3 linked regions of the Lonchura striata genome follow. The protein of the gene in region 2 binds, or shares a complex with, the protein of the main gene of each other region. Links are inferred from orthologs where the notes say so. Each region holds a gene or a part of one and is shown on either strand. Other genes may lie near its edges.

Region 1 (7,703 bases), about 29 Mb from region 2:
GACAAAACACAGGCTGTGATGCAGCTGTGCATGCAAGGGCATGATTTATACTGATATCCAGGAACCCTTGTAAGCAAGGAAAGCCATACCAGGAATGATCATTTTTTGTCTGATGTAATTGCACTGTCACTAGGGCTTAATCTGATAAATTGCACCAGTCAGTGATTTTATTTTTTAGTACCCTGGCTCTCAGCACTAGTGCAAATCTGTTAAAACAGACACAGCTCTGACAGCCATTCTCACAGAGAACAAAAAATGTGGAGGGTCTGTATAAGTAGTTATGATTCCTCTATAAAAAAATACAACTGAGTAAAAAGAAAGTGACACTCAAGTCTAAAAGCTTGATCAATGCAAAACCTCTCTGATGTCCAAGAAAAATAACTGGAAGTATCTGTGAAGGGTTGAGGTTTTGCACATAGGCATCCTTTAGATGTAGCCATTTCCCCATCCAGTAACAGTGGTGTCCTTTCAGATCCCACTGGCAGTTTGGTCAAATGTTTTATTAATAGAGATTCCTGCCTTAAACTTATCACTGCAGTCCTGAGAGTCCAGCAGTGCCCTGTGTAGTGCTCTGAGAAGAGCAAGCCACCAATGCCTGTAACTGTGGAGTGAAAAGTATTCTTTTTAATAATAATATCAATGTATAGAGAGAGGCTTTGAATTTTTACAAGTGGCAACGTCTGACAGATCCCTCTCATCTTAAAGAGAAATGGGTAGATGTTTGTTATGGTCCCTATGGATTTTACCTCACTGTGGAAATATTAACTTACAGAGGGGGTTTTTATTCTTCATATCTCAGGATGTGTATTTGTGTAGGAAACAATGGCACAAAGGTCAGGCTCACCACCACCAAGAGGAACAACCAAACAGTTTCACCCCATCTCCCCAGTAAACCCTTCCCAATTTCAAAGGCAGAGTGATGCCAGCACAATCACAGAGTTACCAGGGGAGGTGATGCTGGGGAATGCAAAGGGCCTGTTCAAGCCATGGCCTGAATGTCCCTGAGGATCTCCTGCAGCAAGACTGTCACTTGGGTCTGCCTGCTGCACCAGGTGCTTCTCCAAAAAGGCTCTTCTTAAGGCCTGGGGCCTGTAGGGCAGCAGCTGGTGAAAAGTTAGCCTGCACCTCCTTGCTCCTGTTAGCACTCGTGCTGGGGCTTGAGAAGGACAGGTGGGCTCCAGGTGACACTGATGGCAGAGGGCTGGGGGCTGCTGAACAGTGCAAGGAATGTGAATGCACAGAAAAGGCTGGCTAGGAAAGCCTCTGTCCCCTCCCTAGATAATTCTGCCTGTTACATGCAGGAAAATGGGTGTGATACATGCAGACATCTTTATAGTCTTTGAGTTTTACAGCCTATGGGCTTTATTTGAGCAGAAATTCTGCCAATATTTAGTATTTGGACTTATATCCAGAAGCTCTCAATTTAGTGGGGTTTTAAATGCAGATGTTTTGGTCATACAACTTCAGAAAACTGATTTTACTATAATTGAAATAATGGCTTTAATTCCAACTGGCAATTACCATGAAATACTTTTAAGTGAAAAAATTAGGATAATAAAATTACCTAAGGTTGTCTTTTGTTATGTAACAAAATTACCTAAGGCTGGAAACAATGAGTCAGAACTGGACAATGCTTCACATATGTCCGTGACCTATACTATAAAAGCAGTTGGAGTAAGATGCTTAGAATGAAGGTTTTGTCAGATCAGATGCAAAAACTATCATTAATACTTTATTTGACATTGCAGTGTTTTCTTTGTGCTTCCCCAATAGCAGCTGATTTTTTTCTTTCCTTTGTAATTTTACTGTAATTTTACTGAAAAGTCTAAAGGCTTCATTTAGAAGATGTTTTAGAATACAGGATTAAAACTTTCAAATCAGTAAGTCTTAAAAGGAGAAGGGGAAAGAGGTGCAGCAACTTAAGTATGGTTTTACACAAGGATGTGCCTTTCTTTGGAAGTACATACATGTTAACTCTTCTTACTGCAGTTTAGATGTAGTTACTATACCCAAGGCTTTGGGATGGATTATTAAAGGTTATTTTTGCTTGATTCATCTGCTGTTCCCTTTGCCTCCTTCCAGCTGTAAGTTGAAGCATTCTGAGATTATATTTTTTTTTACCTATTTATGGAGGGGAGCCCTCAGAGCCTTGCTTGATGAAAAAGTACCTAAAATTTGACATGACAAGGTGCTTGGTGCACTAACAATTTTTTAAAAATAGTATTTACACTGAGGCTAGTTTGTGAACTTTTTAAAAGGAGCAATGCACAGAGGGCCACGAGACAAATTCTTTGCCTGCCATCTGGACGATGCAGGGCCTGGCTGTAACAGCATGTTAAAGCAGCTGCGAGGGAAGCGACCCAGGAGGGTGTGTTTGTTTGTCTTGCTAACAGCTGGCATGGCCTCCACTGGCTGCAACCAAGTTTTCTGAGATGCTTTGCTCTCATTTTAAATTCTTTTGTGCTCTTAAAGCCAGTTCTGAGGAGAAGGCAATGGACTCAGCTGTGGTTTAGGGGTTCAGCTTACTTTTCCAAGCTGGTCTGTCTACTTGTCTGTGGTTCAGTGGTTGATGACAGACAGTCCTACCCCAAACCTTCCACAGCATCTGGTACCATCTGAATACAAAAAGTATTTAAATGTGCTTAGAAGCAGGGTAAAGCTACTGCCACAATTTTACTAGAATCATAATCAGGAATGTCCAAATCCCACTACAGTCTACAACTCAAACGTTTAATTTGGAGTTTATGTACTTTGATTTGTTCTGTATTCACTTTTCTGTAATTGGTTTAATTCTAATTATAAAGCAGAAAGCCAGACACTGTTCTCCTGTTTTAAGTTAAGAATCATAAAGGACACGCCTGAACAAATTACTAGAATGTATGGTTGTAAAAATACTAGGGAATTTTAATTGTATAACACATTAATGCTCATGCTGATTTTTGTTTGGGATTTTCTTAAATCCAGAGTTTTGACAGCAGTCTCACTAAAAGCAGTTGCTTTACAGGTGAATGACAGATACGTGCAGGTAGTAAGAATACTTACATACAAATACTTTTCCTTTTTTAAGAAGTTGTCATCATGTAAGTCTGAAAATAAACATGCTTGTTTACAGCAGAGATTGGCCTTCTAAATGTGAGTATGCAACTGCAGACAACAAAGCAGATTTCTAAGATCTTTGAATCAGAGCACTGGCAATTTGAATCTCATTGACTTAAAATCCAGATGTCCACAACCTGAACTTTTTACATTAATGTAATTTTACTGCACAGTGCTAGAAATAACATTTCAGTTAGGACTTGGATGAATTCAGATTGAGACGTCACTGAATCATTTAGGTTTGAAGACCTCAGAAGACCTCTGAGATCATCAAGGCCATCCTTTGACTGGTCACCTACCACCTTGTCAATGAGACTATGGCACCAAATGCCATCATGTCTAGTTATTTCTTGAACACCTTTTGGGATGGTGACTTCACTGGGCAGCCCATTCCAATGTTTAACAATCCCTTCTATGATTAAATTCCTCTTGGTGTCCAACCTAAACTTCCCCTGGTGCAGTCTGAGGCCACAACCTCTTGTCCTGTCACTTGTTACCTGTGAGAAGATGCCAACCCTCACCTCACTACAGGCTTTGCTCAGGCAGTTGCAGAGAGCAGTAAGGTCTCCCAAGCCTCCTGTTTCCAGGTTAAACACCCGCAGCTCCCTCAGCCACTCCTCACAGGACTTGCGCTCCGGACCCTTCCCTAGCTACCCTGCCCTTCTCTGGACTTTCTTCTCGAGAGGAGCTGGACACAGTTGAGTTATAGCCCCACCCGTGCCGAGCACAAGGCGACAATCCCTGCCCTGCTCCTGCTGCCCACACTGTTGCTGATGCAGGCCAGGATGCCATTGTCCTTCTTGGCTACCTGGGCACACTCTGGCTTCACATTCAGCTGCTGCCGACCAGCACCCCCAGCTCCTTTCACCCCGGGCCACTCCCAGCCGCTGTGCCACCAGCCTGCAGCGCTGCCAGCGGCTGCTGTGACCGGCGCGCAGGGCCGGCACTTGGTCTCCATGAACCGACAGATCCTAAAGGATCTGCAATTCTTGCTCCGCTCTGCGCCTGTAGTTATTCCGTACAGTTATTCTCACACACCGGCCCGCGTTCCTTCCCAGCTCACGGAAAAGATGTACCGGCTGTGCTCGCTGAGTGCCTGAAGTCTCAGGCACGGCGGGGCCGCCGTTCCCGCGGCGGCTCTGGGGCCGCGCCGCGCCGCCTCTGCCCCGGTCCCGCCCCGAGCCCGGGCCGCGCCGCGCCGCCTCCGCCCCGGTCCCGCCCCGAGCCCGGGCCGCGCCGCGCCGCCTCCGCCCCGGTCCCGCCCCGAGCCCGGGCCGCGCCGCGCCGCCTCCGCCCCGGTCCCGCCCCGAGCCCGGGCCGCGCCGCGCCGCCTCCGCCCCGGTCCCGCCCCGAGCCCGGGCCGCGCCGCGCCGCCTCCGCCCCGGTCCCGCCCCGAGCCCGGGCCGCGCCGCGCCGCCTCTGCCCCGGTCCCGCCCCGAGCCCGGGCCGCGGGCGGGGCGGGGCGCGGCCGCCGGCGCGGAAGTGACGGAAGTGGCGCTGACGCCGTTTTCCCGCGGTTCGGGCGGCGGGCGGGGGCAGCGGCCCCGGTCAGTGCTGCCCGCGGCGGGCGCTCCCGGAGCCGCTCCCGCCATGCCGCCCAAGCCCCCGCGCAGGGCGGGCGCCGCCAGGGCGCAGCGCCCCAGCCCCGACGGCGGCTCCGCGCCGCCCGCCGCCCCCCGGTAAGGGCTCTCGGCGCCCCGCTGCAGGCGGGCGGGCCGCCCCGGGGCTCTCGGCGCCCGGCGGGCCGGGCTGTGGGCGGTGCGGGGCGGTGTCACCCCGGGGCGGCTCCGGCAGCCGGTGGCGTGGGTCTCGTGGTCGCCCCGCGGTCCCTGTCCCCGCTGGCGATGTGCGATGCTTTTCCTAGGGTCGAGGTCGGCGAAGCGGACTTCGCTGCGCTGTGTGAGGCGCTGAAGGTGTCGGAGAGCGTGAGGGAGAGAGCGTGGAAGACGTACGAGAGCTTGTCGGCAGCGGATGGAGCTCTGGTGAGTAGCGGCATCGCTCGGTCTGCCCTGTGCCCCAGCTCAGGCGCTGCGCCCTAGCTTCGCTGCAGCCGCGGCCGGGGCTCCCACAGCCAAAGCTCACGTACTCTGCTTTTTCCAAGCGAAGGTAGACTGAAGTGGGGTGTTGCCATGTTCACGTCTGTGTAAACCGGCTTCTGTAGATTGCTCTTTTTTGTTAATATTTTGTGATAAAAGTGCGTGCTCAGGAGTCCTTTTAGATAACTAACAAGTGGCATTAGAAAATAGCACCATGTGATCAGCGAATTCTTCCAACTGCAAGTTATTTCAAATATGTCTTAATCAGCTTTATACAGGTAGTCTTACTGTGTGTTTCTGTGTATTTTTTCCCCTTTGCATCTTTTATGAAGCTGCAGAAAGGGTATTGAGATGACTGTTGCAGAGACAGTTGCCTTTCTGTTGCATAATGTTAACCTGTGCTTATCAATGAGGCATTTCCGTTCAAATTAGTCATTAGGCATGTGTAAACAGATTAATAAAGCCTTTCTTGATTTTTGCTTTTCCTTCTCCTCAGTATGAGCTGGCTCAGAGGACAGCTGTAATACAGCTAAATCATGGCAAAAGCTTTGTTGTAGAGTCCTGATGCAGTTGCATAATATCTAGCTGGGGTATTATTCCCACCGTGTGGACTTGCATTGATGTACGTGTTCTGACTTCTGCTTACCCTTCTGCAACTTGAGCTGACCTGTCACAGCTATGCTGTCACTACTAATAGTTTGTAATCTGTGTTTTTTAAACTGCAGTGTGGATATACCAGGTCTTGATACATTCACATAATGGACTAACAATATAATGGAAGGGAGACTGCACAGCTCTTTCAGTAACAGATATAATTTCTGGTCATGGGTGTTCATGGGAAACATTCACCTAAAATCATAGTCAAGTTCCTCTATAAGAATGAAAACAGGAGTAGTCATTTCCCTTGATTGAAAAAAAAAAAAACAAGGCAGGTTGCAATATAATCCTGAAAATTTCATTTACAGGTAAAGTTTTGTTTTCACTGATCATTACTTAGCAGTGAACAGATAAGATACATGGTGGTTGAAACCTTTCAGCATCTGGAGATTGCTTCCTTTACCTATTCAGAACCAGACCTTCATTATGATATATAAATAATACCTGTTGTCTTGCAATTGTTTGTTGACAGTCTTTCAATGTACAGGGAAAAAAAAAAATCTACATTTAATTTCAGTCCAAGGCCTTTTGCTCAGACTTAGAGCTCTATCTGCAGGGTGTTGAAATGAGTAAGCTGTCAACTGTGTGCCTCCATGGGGACCTGGAAGGCACTGGAGTTGCTACTTCTAGCTGAGAGCAGGCTTTGTCTGACTCTGAAGTCAAGCAAAGTAACAGCCTGGCTAGTTGCTGCTTCTTTTCCCAAGTCAAGCTCTTACGGCAAGCCTGGCTTCTCAGGACGACTCTGTTCTATTCTTCAAGTTGCAGGGATTCAGGCGGAGGCTGCTCTTTTCTTCCCTCTGGTAAAGGTATTATGTTGGAGGGGCAGTCCCAGGGTTTGTCCTGCAAGCACCAGCTGCATGTGTTTTGATCAGTGAGGTTCAGTAGTAACCTGTTCAGTTCTGAACTGGAGCAGAAGCTGTGTAGCAGCTTTCTGTTCTCAAGCAAAAAGTTAAACAGCAGGCCACCAGTTGAGACAAATACTTACCAGAACACTTCTGTTTAGCAATGTAGTTGGTTTGACTTGAAAAAGCTTAAATCATAAGGCTGCTGATGGAAATAGAGGTAGAATCTAAGAATCCACCTCTCAAGCCATTTACAAAGTACAAAGACCTGAAACCTTGCCTTTCTTGGCTCACTGGCCTTGTTTTATTGTGGTTGATACTAGAATTGTGCCTGCCAAATCTCTGAGGACGTGAAGGGCACTTGTACTGGTAACTAGAAAGCAGTATGGCCGAGACTTTAGGTACCGTGGTAACTGGCAGATACTCAGGGTGCAGATGTGGGTTTGGATGCAGTCTGAACATCTGCCATATCCTTGCTCAGTGCACATTTAATGACTTGAAAACATCTTGCATACTGTCCTTTTTGAGTTGCTTAGGGTGCATGTGTAGAGACTCTGCAAACCAGGTAAATGTGGCTTAGAAGTATAAAGCAATTATTTTTGGCAGGCATTTACACAATAAATTGCTAGAATGTCGTGACCTAGCAGCCTAAATGTGCCTGTGCTTCAGTGAGACATTTTATTGGCCAGGCAGGCGTAAGCCAGGAGGAGAGAACCTGTTATCTGCTACTCCCTGGAATGAATGCCAATGCCCATTGGAGCCACTGCTTTTTTTTCCATCAGATGTCACAACTTTCCACTCTGATATTTTTTTTTCTTTTGAACATTGGAGCTACTAGTGGTGATACTTTGAAATTTCAGCTTTCTTATCTTGCCCTTCCTTTCCAAGCACTTTAGCTTTCCTTGCAGTGGTCTCCAGTTACCTGTTTCCACAGCATGTGAGTCAAGGATATACAGGTGCACCCTATTGCAACTGGGCTGTGAGTCCTTGAAACAGCTGAACCTCTTTGACAGGTGTGGAGGAGGAGCAAGGTGACGAGAGAGATGGTAACACAACTTTTCTGGAAAATGTG
Region 2 (7,136 bases):
GGATTGAGATAAGCACCATTTACTGGAAACAGCAATGAGATAAGAAAACAAACAGTAATAGCATCGATATTAATAACAAAATCATACAAAGAGGACCCCAAGACAACAACAGTTTCTTCCTGGAAGAGAGGGAGTCCCTTTTTCCTGCCTCTGGCAATGAGGTAGGATGGTATAGAATAACAAGGTACACATGCCCACTCCAGGCTCCACCCCTTCATGCCTACTGTGGAAAAAAAAGCTCTGTCCTGGCCAAAACCGGGACAACTTGGCTAGGCTTTAGGAGAACTGGGGGAAGAGGAATAGCCTTGTGTGTTCTGTGCCTCCTTGTTGACACAGACTTGGGTTGCCTGGTTCAGTATTAGATGTAAGCGCAAATTGGTAATCTTAACAGACATATCGTAAGTTTGTTTGCAGACATTTGAGATTGCCTCATAGAAATCTGGAGGTATATTGAGATACTGTAAATGTTTCCTGAAATGCAAATAATGGCTGCATGCATAATTCCATGTCCAAATGGGGTAGTCTCATGATATGATCTTAGGACAGAAACAACAGACCTTATTCCTGAATGATCACTCATTCCTGTATGAAAAATGGGGAGAATATTGCATAATCAGCCCACTTAGATATAATTGCAGCTTTTCAGAAACCTTATGTTTGTACTGTGGAATATTCTCTTCTGTGTTAAGCAGGTAAAATTAAAGCAGAGTTCCAGAAGCCCTGAAAGGAAAATCTACTGATTTGTTGAAGGTTTCTTGAAAAACAATGGTCTTTTTCTGGAAATTCTTGTTCCAGCTTGTTGGACAGTGGTTCTATCTCATTCATTAACTAATGATCAGTATAATTTTAATACAGAAAAGCTGATACAGAGCAGAAGCCTTATTAAGTGATGAGAGGATATTCCTATGGTGAAGCTGAACGTAAGGGAGTGAAAAGGAAGGTCTACTCTATGCTTGACTTGCAACTCATTCAGCTACTTTGGGGCTGACATTTTTTTTGGGGGGGGGGGAGGGGGGTTGGTTTATTTATTTTGTAGGTGGATTTAGCTGTGCTTATTTGGCATGGCTTTCTGAAAATTTGAGTTCTTATGTGTTACCCCTTAATTGCTATCCTTGATAATTCTGTGAAGATAAAGGAACCAAAGTAGTTTAAAAGCTGGTAGTGTGGGCTTTGCTTTGTGAGCCATTTCCCTGGCCCTGGGGTCAGATTAGTATGTATGGACCCACAACCACCCTACTTGTGGCTTATCCCATATAGAGTGGGTAGCTTCATTTTGTCAGTAGGAAGGTATTTGTGGGAGCTGTGAGGTGGTTTCCTGAAACTGTGGCTGATGTAGGTCTAGGATGGCTCAAGAATGTGATGCTGGACTAAGTCCATGGCACTACATAGCCTTTTAAAAGCTGTAAAAATTCATCATTTATTTGAGAATTTATCATTCTCAAATATGAGGAAAAGCATCCTCACAAAGCTTGTATTTCACTTGTTTTATGATTGGACATCCTCAGTTTTGCAGGGTGATGTGGGAGTGCCTTGTATGACAGAATATTGCTGTACGATGATGCTTAATAGAGGGGGTGAGAAATCTAGTGTGGTCTTGCCTGTTGGCACAAACCCAGGAACAATCCAACCACAAAAGCACTCTTGGGGTTTGTCTAGGGAAGGAATCCATAGTTCTGCTCAGTAACCAGTCCTGGCAGTATTCCAGCATGTGGGCAGTGCCAAAGGTGGAGGAAACGGGATCCCTGAATGACAAGAGGCGAGCCACACTAACAGTGTTGCTATTTTGTGGGAAATGCAATAGCTTGTAAGGAGCAGCAAAGTATCAGAGATCCAGTGTTGACCTGACAACCAGGGAGCCAACAAAACTACTGCAGGGAGAAGGAAGAACAGTGAGATGTCCTTAGGGCTCAGATATGTGTAGCCCACTCAACCCATAAAGGCAGAAGGCAAAAGCATACCTCTACCAACTTCACTCAGGAGATTTGCTCCTTGGGTTCTCCCACCACCTCTGTTGAGTAATTACCAGTGCTGGGTTGGTCTTAATGACACTTGCAAGACAGTGGGACTAGGAAAACCTTCTGCTGGCTGGAGACAGCAAACTGGACAACATTGTGGCAAGAGCGACTTAGGGATAGCTGATCCTGCCTTGTGGGAAAAACCTGTATCAGAGAGTAGTAAAAATTTCAGTTATGGTACCAAGCTGTATTTTTTATATCCTAAAATAGAGTGGAAATTCGATAACTGGGAGATGGTACCTCCCCAAGAGGCCAGATGTTGACAAGGTGGTCAGGTGACATGAGGTCTTTAAGTCATGAGTTTGCACAGATCACAGTGTTCAGACTGCATGGCTCCCCATTCGCGTGCATTTCCTCTGGCATCTGTTGAAGCTTTCTGCCTATAGACTAGATGACCTCTTGAGACAATTTCCTCACGTCTGTCATGCAGTCCTGCCGCACTGATGCTCTTTAAAGTTATGATCTGTTCTGATTTTCGTGCACCCTTAAAAGGGACAGACACTTCCCAGAAAACTATAAAGTGGAATAGCTTTCCACCGCTACGAACACAAACGAAATCCTAAAGCAACAAAATACCTGCAAAAGGTGTGCTCAGAGATTAGAGAAGTGTTGAAAATTTTTTCACCGGTACAAACACTTCAAATTAGTTGCAAACAACCCTCGGCTAAAGAACAAAAAAAACAAAAAAAAAAAAACCACTACCTAAGAGTTGAGCATGTTTGGGCAGTTAGCATGTATCAAAATAAATTCTAGCGAACTAGGACACTCCTTGTTTGTGCTTGTTCTGTTGACTCGCAAGTGTTTTTCCTACAAGAATTAATGTAAAACAAAAGAGCGGGAGGTGGGTGGATAGGGATGTGAGATACATAGACGGTTTGAACCCTCAGGCACAGTATATATGACCTAAAGGGTGGAGAGGAGCACTATCAACTGGAGATGTCTTTCAGGAAGCAATTTTTTTTTTCTGCAGCTGGCTTATGTGTTTTGTGTGTGAAAGTTTTTGCTGTTTTCTGAAATGTTATAATGTTATTAACACAATTTCATTATTACCTTCTTTCTTCGATGGCCTTTCCCGTCAATCTTAAATCAAGAGGAAAGAAGAAATGGGGTAATAACCCTACAGCAGCACGGGAGGGGGCGGGGGGAGGGGTGGGGCGAGGTGGGAGAGGCATTGTTAATAAAAAACTCCAAAGACTGCTATTTATCAGGAAAATGAACGTAGTGTTTCATTATTATGGTAAAGCACAACAATTCAACGTCTTTTAAAAACCCCAAAACAACAGAGTAAGGTGTAAAAGTGAATGCGAATCTGATAGACTCGTGAAATGCATCTCCTCCAGCATTCTCTCTGCTGGATTTGTCTGCTGCTGCAATGTAGCGGCTCTGTGGTCGTGTGTTCTATTCCCACCTAGTCGTCTTTCCCAGGAAGCAGCATGAATTTAGCGAAAGAACGAGCCTTTTACTTCCTGCTCCTCTCTTCATTGCGTTATGAGCAACCTTGTACCGTGCAGGCTTGCTCTTGCGTGCAGAACTGTGTATAGCTTCCTCCCCCATCGAGCAGCCTTGCATCCACCCCTGTGAGCGGTGATGAGCACGGCTCTTGAGCTTTCCTTGCTTTCCTGCAGTTCCCACTATGACGGCTCTGCCTCTGCAGGCCCCCCAGCAACGCTGTGGGTTTTGGGGTTGCTTTTTCCCCCCAAAATTTACAGGACAACGATGTAAGTTCATCACATAACCCTCGCTAACATGCTCTGTTTCTGCGGTCGTCATGGCACGCAGAGGCTGCACCGCCCGCGGTGCTTTGCTTTTGGGCGCAAGGTTAAGAGCTGCAGCCGCCCGAAGGAAAACTTTCGCTTGGATTACCAAAAAAACCCTAATTTTAGCAACGATCGCTGCAAGCGAAACTTTGCTCGAGTAACGGCCGGACAAGACGCGATGAGGAAGCACCGGCAGCAGGATGTTGTGGCAACGAAACCGCACGGCCCTGCCCGGCCGGCCCCGCTCCGCGCCGGCAGCGCGGCCGCGCCCGCGGGCACCGCTCGGCACCGCGGGGCGGGCGGGGAGTCGGAAGAAGGCGCGAAAATCCCGCGCATGCTCCATGCCCGGCTCCCTCCGCGCCTTGGAGCGGCGGGCGGCCGGGTTGGCTTGGCCGCTCCGCGTGTGTGCCCGCGCGAGGCGCGCCGCGCCCGTGACGTCAGCGCGCAGCGTCAGGGGGACGCACAAAAGTGTAAGTTTCAATTTTTTTTTTTTTTTTTTACATTTTATTAGAAAAGAAAAAAAAAAAAAGAAAAAAAGAAGAGACGAGGGAAGAGTGGCGGGGTCGCGCGCGCAGGGTCCGTGGGAGGGTTGGAGGGGAGGATCGCTGCGCTCGCTCGTCCCCGCTCGTTTACCCGCATCGCCCCCGTTCCCGCGGGCAGCCCCTCGGCGGCAGCGGCGCTGGGCAGGTGTGCGGGGCCGCGGCGTGCGGGGCCGCGGCGTGCGGGGGCGGCCGGCCGGGAGCCCGCCGGGCCGGCTGCCGGCGGGGGCAGAGGCGCGCTGGGAAGTGACAGCCCGCCGGGGAGACCCTCTTGTCCCGCCGCCTCTTCTCCCTGCACCCCCTCCCCCGGAACGCGGGGGGGAAAGGCGGTCCCTGCCGGTGCCCTCTCCTCCCTCCTCGCTTCCCTCCCCTGTTCCCGGGCTGCCGATGTCGGTGTCCCGCCGCCTCCCCCCGCCCCTGCCCCCTCCCGCCAGGCCCGCGCAGCCGCCGCACATGTGCAGTCGGGCGCCTCCGCAGCGGCAGCAGCAGAAGCGGCGGCAGCAGCGCGGCGGGCGGGGGGTGCTCCCGCTCCGCGCTCCGGGTCCCTGTCTCCGGGCGGCGGCGGGGGATGGAGCCGGCTCTCTCTGCCTTCGGCCGCTCAGGTGCGGGCAGCCCGCGCCCGAGGATGGGAGCACCAGGGGCTGCGTGGGACGGCGGCGGGTCGGGCACGATGGGGATGGGGACGGCGCGGACCCACACTCCGCCCGCCGCCCCTTCCCCCCGCGGCCGCCGGCCGTGCCGCCGGGCGCGTCCCCCCTTGCCCGCGCCCCCGCCGCCGAGGCGATTAGCGCGGCCCCTCGCTGCCGGGGGGAGGCGGCGCGGGGCTCGGGGCTCTGCCCGGGCGGTGAGGCCCCGGGCGGGGGGCGCGGGCGGGCGCGGGGTGCCCGAGCCGCAGGGGCGGCCGCCGGTCTGTGCCGCCCGGTGTGGCCGCGGCCCGTCCGCCTGCGAGGAGGAGGAGAAAAGCGGGGTTGGAAGGCCCCGGGGGGAGCTGCCCCTGGGGCCTACTAGTGCCTGCTGCTGGAAATGGGGGTGGGGAGGAGGAGGCCGTGATCGCTGCCCGCGCTCGGCGTTGGAAGGGGCGCAGCTGGACAGGGACCGGCCTCGCGTGGGATCGGGCACGGGCTGGGGGAAGGGCTCTCACTGCCGGGGCACGGCCGGCTCGCCCCCGCCGTCGGGAGAGCAGTGCCCCCCACACGTGAGCCTGGGGCTCGAGGGACGAAAAGGTGATGATGGGAAACTTTTCCCTTTTTAAAAACATGGTTGTTTTTTCAAAAATAAGCCTAAATTGTACTTGGTAGTAGTCAATAATTTCAATTGTAAAAACTTTCCCTCCTTTCATTTTTTTATAGCTGGTGCTGTCTTTGCTTTCTGCTTTCCAGAAAATAGCATTGTCCCTGTGTCCTGCAGCCATCGAGATTTTAAGACGACTGGTTTTTAGTCTTTGGTAACATGGCAAAAGATGTAAGTATATTTGTAGCACATAAAACGTGGAAGCATGGAATGTTTCTATTAACAAAAGCAAACGGGGTCAGGCTTTATAATAGCTGCCATTAATGAGTATGTGGAACTTTATTCTGTGCATCAAGCCTAGGCTGTTTTCCTGTAGACAGTGTAAAACAGCTTCAGATCCGCTGCCATTTTTTCAGAGTGATTAATGTTGCGAATTCCATATGCTAATAACGGCGCTTGGGCCGTTGTCATTATGTGCATTCACATTGAACACTAAAACAGCTTGGGTTTGGATTGGATTGAAAAAAACTCAGCACGTGTTGTTCAGATGGCAGGGCTGTCGTTGACTACTGTTGTCAACTAACGTTGCCTTTCTTGAGTTCAAGAAGGCATCAGACATTTGAGGGAAGATGGTTCATTCTCCATATGTGTTCATAGTTTATCTTTGTCTACCAAATGATGCTTGTTGGTGTCTGTAAAAACAGGCTTTGGGAACTTTCACCGTAGATTTCCATTACTGCTGTTGTTAAAGTTTCAACTTTGATTCTGTGGCCTGCCTTTTGGAGCACCTTTGCTCTTCACCCCTTCTGGTACCTACTAAAAAAAATTCAGTTTATTCTGCCTTTAAGATGTCAGTCATTGTTCATACCTAATATAATAGGGCTTTCATGTTTTCTTATTGAAAATAAGACAATGGCTAGTCTGTATTCAAATTAGAGCATATGTCCCCTTCAAAAAAGCCCAAAACCCCTAAAAAACCAACAGCATGCAAGCTAAAGAAAAGTGATACAATTCACTGGTTAAACAGTAGGTTGCAGCCTAATGTGGAATATTGTAGCTTTCAAATAGTGTTGATTTCCATGAAAGAGTGATTGGCTTAAAAAATAATCTTGTAGGGAATTTTAGTAGTTCAGCTGAAAAACATCTTAATGTGTGGAGAAGCAACCAGACATACGTAGTCACTCAAAGCTTGCCTGGAAGAGATAAGGGTGGCCAAGTACACTACAGATAGCAGAGTTCAGGGAATGATAGGCCATATAAGCGGGAAGAAAACGAAAGTGGAGTGTTATACTAGGAGCTGGAATTGAAATAGCTCAAAGTAATTGAAATGCCAAAGTACATTTGTTTAATACTATCTTTTGGGAGAGAGATCAACTAAGTGAAGAGTTGCTAGCACCTGGAAATACAGATGAACGTCCTGCTGGATCTAAGTGAGAATGAGACATTTAAGAACAAACCTTATTTTTGAAAGATCTAGTTTATTCTTGCAAAGAGAGTAGTTAAGGAAGAAAGGAAGGAATAACTTACCTCAGAATATACTTAAAAAATGGGACAAGGTACTACAGATATGAGAAGAAATGGCTTTAAGTATCTTT
Region 3 (7,303 bases), on a different chromosome or scaffold from region 2:
GGCTTTTGGGACTGGGATCTGAGAGGAAACACCTAAACCAGGGCTGCCCCTTCTGCCACAAGCCAGCTTTAGACACTTCTAGAAGCTTCCAGAAAGTGGCTTTGGTTTGCACAGAACAACGGTGACGGCTCAGGTGGCAGAGGTGAGGGACTGTAGGGTCAGGGCAGAACTGGGGGGGCTCTGGGCTTTCCCCAGCTGTGTGTCCCCACCACAGGCAGATTGTGCCACACTGCCAACTCACCATCTTGCGAACAAACCAGGGAACTGGGACAGGGACATTGGCAGGAGACCCCAGGGAAGTCCTGCTCTGCTCACATGTGACACACTCCCGGTGGGAACTGCTGGAGGTTGGGACTGCCTCTGCGATGGCAGGGACAGTAAATGTGCTCCTGGGACACCCACAGGCTGCCCTTAACCCAGCAAGGGGTTTGCATCCTGCAGCTCTCCTCCCCCCTGCTCCCGCTGCCAGGTGATTTTCCAGCGCAGGTACCAGCTGTGCTCCAGCTGCAGACTTCTCCCAGCACACAGCCTTGCTCTGAGTCTATCCCACAGTGCCAAACCCACCCAAACTCAGCGGCTGCCACGGCACGAGGTGTCTGAGCAGCCTTCCCACTGCTGTGCAGGAGAGAGCGGGGCTGTGCAGGCAGGGATGGGCAGACAGGGATGTGCAGGCAGGGATGAGCAGGCAGGGATGTGCAGGCAGGGATGGGCAGGCAGGGATGAGCAGGCAGGGATGGGCAGGCAGGGATGTGAAGGCAGGGCTGAGCAGGCAGGGATGGGCAGGCAGGGCTGTGCAGACAGGGATGAGCAGACAGGGATGAACAGGCAGGGCTGTGCAGGCAGGGATGTGCAGACAGGGATATGAAGGCAGGGATGTACAGGCAGGGATGTGCAGGCATGGATGTGCAGGCAGGGCTGTGCACGCAAGGATGTGCAGACAGGGATGAACAGGCAGGGATGAACAGGCAGGGATATGCAGACAGGGATGTGAAGGCAGGGATGTGCAGACAGGGATGTGCAGACAGGGATGTGCAGACAGGGATATGAAGGCAGGGACATGCAGACAGGGCTGTGAAGGCAGGGATGTGAAGGCAGGGATGAGCAGACAGGGATGTGCAGACAGGGATATGAAGGCAGGGACATGCAGACAGGGATGTGCAGACAGGGATGTGAAGGCAGGGATGTGCAGACAGGGATGTGAAGGCAGGGATGAGCAGACAGGGATGTGAAGGCAGGGATATGAAGGCAGGGACATGCAGACAGGGATGTGCAGACAGGGATGTGAAGGCAGGGATGTGAAGGCAGGGATGAGCAGTCTGGACTTTATCGGGAGCAGCACCTGCCGCACGGATAATCTCGGGAGCACGTCCGCGCTCCTCAGCGGGGCTGCCGGGGGAGGCTGCAGTTGTGCAGGAGACAGAATTCATCTGCTTCCCCTCACCCACATGCCAGAAAGGCCCTGCCCGTCCTTCTCCCACCAGCGTTCGCCTTTCATTTGTCTCCACAGCCGCCCCTTTTCGCGCCGCCGGCGCTGAAAGCCTCGGAGAAGTCGAAGCGCAGCCTCCGGGAGAGGGGGCAGAGCCTGCTCCCCCCGAAGAGCTCCTGCATGAATTAGGGGGGTGAAGGCAGCCTTTGTGAGCCGAGCGGGAGCAGCTGGTGCAGCAGCTGTGTCCCAAACCCTGCCTCATCCCAGGAAGCGCCGGGCTGAGGCTCCCCAGGGATGGGGAGAGCACCGCCAGCCATGCGCTCCCGCCCGGCTGCTGGGGTTGCCTTTTTCCCCCTTCCCCAGATGGAAGAAGCATTAACTGTGTGCAAACATCTGGTCTAACTGTTGCTTATGCTTCCTAGTAATGATGATATTGCAGTGGAAGGGCTCTGGAGAGTGGGGCCCGGAATATTAGAAGGGCCAAGTGTTAATTAACTATATTAATTTCCTTTAAGCAAGGCAGCGTTTCTATTTGCTCTCTGCTGATGAAGAAATGAGGCACAGCGAGTTTATTGGATTGGTCACGGACATGCACCATGTTACTGCTGTATTTAAGGATGGAGGGACCCAGGGAAATCACAGCCCTGCTCCACACTGGCCACCCCCAGAGGAATTGCAGCCACTGCCAAAGCATCCAGCATAAAATCCTTTAAAGCCAGAAACCTGTTAGGCCAGCACAGGGGCACTGCATGTCAGGATCTGCTCCACAGCAAAGAGGTTAACTCATCCCTGCAAATGCCTCCTGCATCCCACGCACTGCTGGGAAAACAGCCCTTCTCCTGCAGTGCTGGGAAAACAGCCCTTCTGCAGTGCTGGGAAAACAGCCCTTCTCCTGCATCCCGGGCAGGTCAGGGTTGGCAGCAGGAGCCAGCACTGGCTCACAGCTCTGCCTGGCAGCAGCAGTGGGCTGGGGGTCACTGTGCTCGACCACCAACCCCCGGGGGCACGTGGGGGGCACAGAGGGGTCAAACCCTGAGCTTGGCTCAGCATGGGTTTGGGTGCTTGGATCAGACCCCTCTACAAACTTTCCTCATGAGCTTCCCCATGTCTGGGCCTTGCAAAAAGCCTAATCTTTAAATGCTTTTTAATTTTTTTTTTTTATTAGCAGGATGTACTTTTTTCCTTTTTAATTTTGCCTCCTCATGCAGCAGGAGGTTATCAGTGTCCTGCAGACAGGAGATACTGGTGCTGGGAGCTGCCTGTCCCGTGTCTCATGGGTGGACTCTCATCTTTCTCAGCATATGGGGCCACTCCCGGCTCCGTCTGCCGTCCCTGTGTCCCTGCCTCTCCCCAGCCACACGCTCCCACGGCCGGAGATAGCGCCTGGCACGGTCAAGTGCAGGTTGTGCTCCCGGCAGAGCTTTTCCTCTGCCCTCTAAGGGGTTATCAGCCATTCCTGAAGGAGCTGCCGAGATCCGCAGCTGTTTGCAAACAGAATGCCGTGAATCCCCGGGCAGACGGATGGAGCAGATTGCAGCATCCCAGCCCTCCCGTGTGCGCTGGGCCCTGGAGCAGCGTCAGAGCCCGAAGCCTCCAGATTTGTCGGACAGCCTCAGCCGTGGTCTCGGGGCTGCTTCCACAAGGGAGGTGGACAGCCCTGAACCGAGCCCTTCAACGCCCCAGCGCCCAGACAGAAATCCTGCCCACGGCCCGCAGCACAGGAGAGGAGCCACTGATGTCCCCACTGCGAGGCATTGCTGCGGGGGGCCGGGCCAGGCTGGGCTGGCTGTCACCCCCGGGCAAGGGGAACACACGGGGGGCAGCCTGCGACGCCCCGCAGAGCCCAAAGCCGCCCTCTTCCCCAGCAGTGACACCCGTGGGCGGGCGGAGTCCGCAGGGCAGGGGAGCGAGCTGAACTTTGCTCGTGGGTGCGTGCCCCGTCCTCCCGCGCCATCCGGAGCGGGGAGCGGCCGCGCCCGCAGCCGGAAGCGCAGCACCCCGGCGGGGCTGAGCCCGGGCCGGGACCGGCTCGGCCCGAGCCCTGAAATCCCCACGGCTGGGAACACCGGCAGCCGGGGCCGGCTCGGAGCGAGGAATCCGCGGCGGCACACGAGGGGGACACCCTCTTGTCAAACAGGGACACGGGAGGGGACACCTCGAGAGGGACACGGGGGACACAAAGAGGGACACGGAGGGGACACCCCGAGGGGGACACGGGGGACACAAAGAGGAACACGGGAGGGGACACCCCGAGGGGGACACCGAGACACGGAAGGGGACACCCCGAGGGGGACACGGGGGACACAAAGAGGAACACGGGAGGGGACACCCCGAGGGGGACACCGAGACACGGGAGGGGACACCCCGAGGGGGACACGGGGGACACAAAGAGGGACACGGGAGGGGACACCCCGAGGGGGACACACGCAGCGCGCGCCGCACCCGCGCTGCGCCCCCGCCGCGTCCCCGAGCCGCGCTCCCATTGGCCGCCGCCCGGGCGCGGCGCCGCTGATTGGCCGCCTGTCAGCGCGGCCCCCGCCCGCCAATGGCCGCGCGGCACCGCCCGCCGCCCCGCGCGCCGCGGCCAATGGCAGCGCGTTCTCTCCTCCCCGCCGAGGCGGGCGCAGCCAATGGGCGGGCGGCGGGGCGGCTCGCGCCGCTTTTCGCGGCAAAAAGGATTTGGCGCGCAAAGGCGCGCGGGGCCGGCGCGCCGAACAATCCGGCGGCGGCCGCACCGGAGCCGGAGCCGGAGCCGGAGCTGGAGCGCAGCGGCCCCGCGCCCGCCATGGGCCGCGCCCCTGTCCGCGCCCTGCCCGCCGCGCCGCCCGCCGCACCGGCGGCACCGGCTGCCATGTGAGCCATGGCGGCGGCGGGCGGCGCGGCGGGGCTGGCAGCGCTGCTGGGCAGCGCCTCCCCGCACCTCCTGATCGTCTCCGCCGCCGAGGAGCCCGCGGGCGGCGGCCACCCCGATACCGACCTCCTGCTCTTCGCCACGCCGCAGCCCGCCCGCCCCGGCGCCGCGCCCAGACGGCCCGCGCTGGGCCGCCCGCCGGTAACCCCCGCGAGTGGGATGGGGAGCGGGCGGGGGCCGGGCGGGGGCTCCGGGGACCGGCGAGCCCGGGCTGTGTTCCGAGCTGTGCAGTATTGGGCCTCGAACCGGCCTGTAACGACCGGGCCGTATACCCGACCGGGCTACACCGAGCCGGGCTGTACAATGGGCCCGGCTGCGTACCGGGCCGTGCTATGTAGCGAGCCGTGCCAAAGCCAGCCGGGCTGTACAGCGGACAGGGCTCCGTACCGGGCCGGACCGTATTTCACCCTGCTGTGCCCCGTGCTGTGCCATATGCCGTGCCCTGCTCCGTGTCAGCCCGTGCCCGGTGCACCCGGCTGTGCCAGGCTGTACGGCCGGGCCGTGCCACGCAGCACCTGCCGGGCCGGCCCTGCCCCGCCGCCGCTCCGGAAGCCGCAGGCCCCGGCGCCGGGCCGTGCTTGGCCTCCCCAGCCACGGCCCGGTCGGCTTTGGGGCGCTCCCCGCAGCGCGGCGGGGCCCCGCGGCTGGGCCAGCCCCCATCCCTGCCAGCGGGGTGACAGCTCTCATCAACCCCTTCCTGCCGGGATCCGGGGTGTCTGTACCCCACTGTGCTGTGGGGGGTCCTCACAGAAACCCTTCACAGCAGTGGGGCCTGGGGCGGCTGTCCCTGTGCTGACCCCGGCCCTTGCAGGTGAAGAGGAAGCTGAACTTGGAGACGGATCACCAGTACATAGCGGAGAGTTTGCCAGTGAGCCGGGGCAAGGCCAGGAACCCCGCTAAAGGTACCGGCTCCACTCCCCCCGGCCCCCTTGCCAGCCCAGCTCAGAGCAGAGGTCCAGCAGCCCCACTCTGCTCCCCCAGGCTCATCCTGGTAGCTCCTTCCAGGCCCTTTGTGTCGGTGTGGATGGGCTGTTCCCGGGGCTGGCCTGCCTCTGTCCACCCTCCACACTCACTGCTGTGCCCTGTGCTGGTGGCATGGCTGTCCTGCCCTTGTGCTGGGCACCCCTCCGGCTCTGTCCCTCCCCGTGGGATGGAGCTGTAGGTGCCAGCATGGTGTCAGTGCAGTGTCCCAGGTGGACCTGCTGTTATCTCCCCCCAAGCCCAGCCTGGCACTTGGTGTCTCAGTCACAGCTGTGGTCACAACGGAGCACAGGTGTCACAGCTTGTGCCAGGTGCTGCAACATCCTTCCTACAGGGGATTTGGGCAACTCACCCCGTTGCCCTGAGATAACAGATTGGGTTTGGGGTGCCAGTCCTGGTCACTAGTCCACAAGCCACCTGCAAGTATGGCAGGAGTTTTGTGACCTTTCAGCTTCAGCTGTGGATGAAACTTGTCCTCCACGTCTGGCAGGGGCAAAGTCTCCTGGAGAGAAGTCCCGCTATGAAACCTCCCTGAACCTCACCACCAAGCGCTTCCTGGAGCTGCTGAGCCAGTCCCCAGATGGTGTGGTGGACCTCAACTGGGCGGCCGACGTCCTGAAGGTGCAGAAGAGGCGCATCTACGACATCACCAATGTCCTGGAGGGCATACAGCTCATCACCAAGAAGTCCAAGAACCACATCCAGTGGCTGTATGTCGCTGGCTCATGGGGCTGTGCCTGGCTGTTCCTGGGGTGGGGGAGCTGTCTGGGAGGAGGAGGGTCTTACCTGGGTGGAGAATTTCAGGGCGGGGTCACCAGAGCTTCTGCTGCAGGCCAAGTGGTGGCTCCCTGTGGGGACGGCTGTGCTCAATGGCAGGAGGGTCCTGCGAGTCCCCCTGGGACTCCCCGAGTCACCCAGGGGAGGGGAGGGCTGCATCCAGCCTTGGGGGAGCAGCACTCTGCTGCAAAATCCCTGCAGGGCTGGTTCCCTGCCGGGGGGGTGGGATGTGGCCTGGCCTGGGTGGGGCCCTGGAAGCTGTGGGAGCGGCTCCTGATGGACACGGTGCTCCCCAGGGGCAGCCAGGCCACGGTGGGAGCGCCAGGCCGGCACCGGCTGCTGGAGAAGGAGCTGCGGGAGCTGCAGGCGGCCGAGCGGCAGCTGGATGACCTCATCCAGATGTGCACGGTGCAGCTGCGCCTGCTCACCGAGGACCCCGCCAACCAGCAATATCCTTTGGTTCTGGGGTGGGGCTGGCTGGGTGGGGCTGTGCTTGAGCCGCGGTGGCACAGGCAGGGAGTTTCTCAGCCCACATCCCCGTGTCCCTTCCTTGACCCACCCCACCGCAGCCTATGTCACCTGCCAGGACCTCCGCAGCATTGTGGACCCCGCGGAGCAAATGGTGATGGTTATCAAAGCCCCCCCAGAGACCCAGCTGCAGGTCTCAGACCCAGCAGAGGTGAGTTGGGGTCACGTTCTGCTCCTGCTGTGCCCTCCCTGAACAGCCCCGGCTGTTCCCTGGGTGTTCTTGTGCCACCTTGTCTCACTCCTGTCCCCTTCCCCAGGCATTCCAGGTCTCCCTGCGAAGCACTCAGGGCCCCATTGATGTGTTCCTCTGCCCCGAGGACAGCTCTGGGGTCTGCAGCCCCGTCAAGAGCCCCTTCAAAGCCCCTGCAGAGGACTCTTCTCCCAGCCATTCCCAGCCCAGAGCCTCCCTGCTCCTGCATCCTGCCCAGGATGTGAACATGCCGCTGCTGCCTGGAGAGCAAGGTGGGCCTGGGGACACGAGGGAGCTGGGGACACGAGGGAGCTGGGGACACGAGGGAGCTGGTGGGATGTCACAGTGGCTCTCATCAGCCCCTCTGCCGTTGGCACAAGCAAGGAGCTGCCATGCTGCTCAGGCACCCCAACAAGGCAGGGAGGTGGGAAGGCAGCAGCTCCATAGCCAAGAAAGCTTTTTTTGGGGTTTCTTTGGAGACTATTATGGG

Evidence for each region.
Region 1: the proteins of TFDP1 (region 2) and RB1 are in contact, whole or in part, in a crystal structure (PDB 2AZE), measured with the Homo sapiens proteins. The link is inferred for Lonchura striata from reciprocal best matches to the Homo sapiens genes TFDP1 and RB1. Residues at the interface, in NP_009042.1 of Homo sapiens: Gln222, Glu225, Leu226, Gln229, Ile262, Val271, Asp273, Asp288, Asn289, Thr290, Phe291, Glu292, Ile293, His294, Asp295, Glu298, Arg302; in NP_000312.2 of Homo sapiens: Ile835, Ser838, Phe839, Thr841, Ser842, Phe845, Gln846, Ile848, Asn849, Val852, Cys853, Asn854, Ser855, Val858, Leu859, Lys860, Arg861.
Region 3: the proteins of TFDP1 (region 2) and E2F1 are in contact, whole or in part, in a crystal structure (PDB 2AZE), measured with the Homo sapiens proteins. The link is inferred for Lonchura striata from reciprocal best matches to the Homo sapiens genes TFDP1 and E2F1. Residues at the interface, in NP_009042.1 of Homo sapiens: Glu201, Cys202, Leu205, Glu206, Glu208, Arg209, Arg212, Leu213, Arg215, Ile216, Lys219, Gln220, Gln222, Leu223, Leu226, Ile227, Gln229, Gln230, Phe233, Lys234, Leu236, Val237, Arg239, Asn240, Arg241, Glu244, Pro251, Ser255, Val256, Ile257; in NP_005216.1 of Homo sapiens: Arg202, Leu203, Leu206, Thr207, Asp209, Leu210, Leu213, Gln214, Ser216, Glu217, Leu220, Asp221, Leu223, Met224, Ile226, Cys227, Thr228, Gln230, Leu231, Leu234, Asp239, Ser240, Gln241, Arg242, Leu243, Ala244, Tyr245, Val246, Thr247, Cys248.

Annotation. Positions count from the first base shown.
Region 1 is NC_134604.1:61,979,401-61,987,103, forward strand, and holds the start of RB1 (retinoblastoma-associated protein), read left to right. Parts: upstream 1-4,686; coding exon 4,687-4,775; intron 4,776-4,960; coding exon 4,961-5,078; intron 5,079-7,703. UniProt on the Homo sapiens protein: Tumor suppressor that is a key regulator of the G1/S transition of the cell cycle. The hypophosphorylated form binds transcription regulators of the E2F family, preventing transcription of E2F-responsive genes.
Region 2 is NC_134604.1:91,304,554-91,311,689, reverse strand, and holds the start of TFDP1 (transcription factor Dp-1), read left to right. Parts: upstream 1-4,130; 5' UTR 4,131-4,242; intron 4,243-4,440; exon of another isoform or gene 4,441-4,459; intron 4,460-4,757; exon of another isoform or gene 4,758-4,913; intron 4,914-5,439; exon of another isoform or gene 5,440-5,534; intron 5,535-5,660; exon of another isoform or gene 5,661-5,690; 5' UTR 5,691-5,760; coding exon 5,761-5,772; intron 5,773-7,136. UniProt on the Homo sapiens protein: Can stimulate E2F-dependent transcription.
Region 3 is NC_134619.1:12,541,463-12,548,765, reverse strand, and holds the start of E2F1 (transcription factor E2F1), read left to right. Parts: upstream 1-4,286; coding exon 4,287-4,478; intron 4,479-5,148; coding exon 5,149-5,239; intron 5,240-5,808; coding exon 5,809-6,028; intron 6,029-6,391; coding exon 6,392-6,544; intron 6,545-6,659; coding exon 6,660-6,774; intron 6,775-6,880; coding exon 6,881-7,085; intron 7,086-7,303. UniProt on the Homo sapiens protein: Transcription activator that binds DNA cooperatively with DP proteins through the E2 recognition site, 5'-TTTC[CG]CGC-3' found in the promoter region of a number of genes whose products are involved in cell cycle regulation or in DNA replication.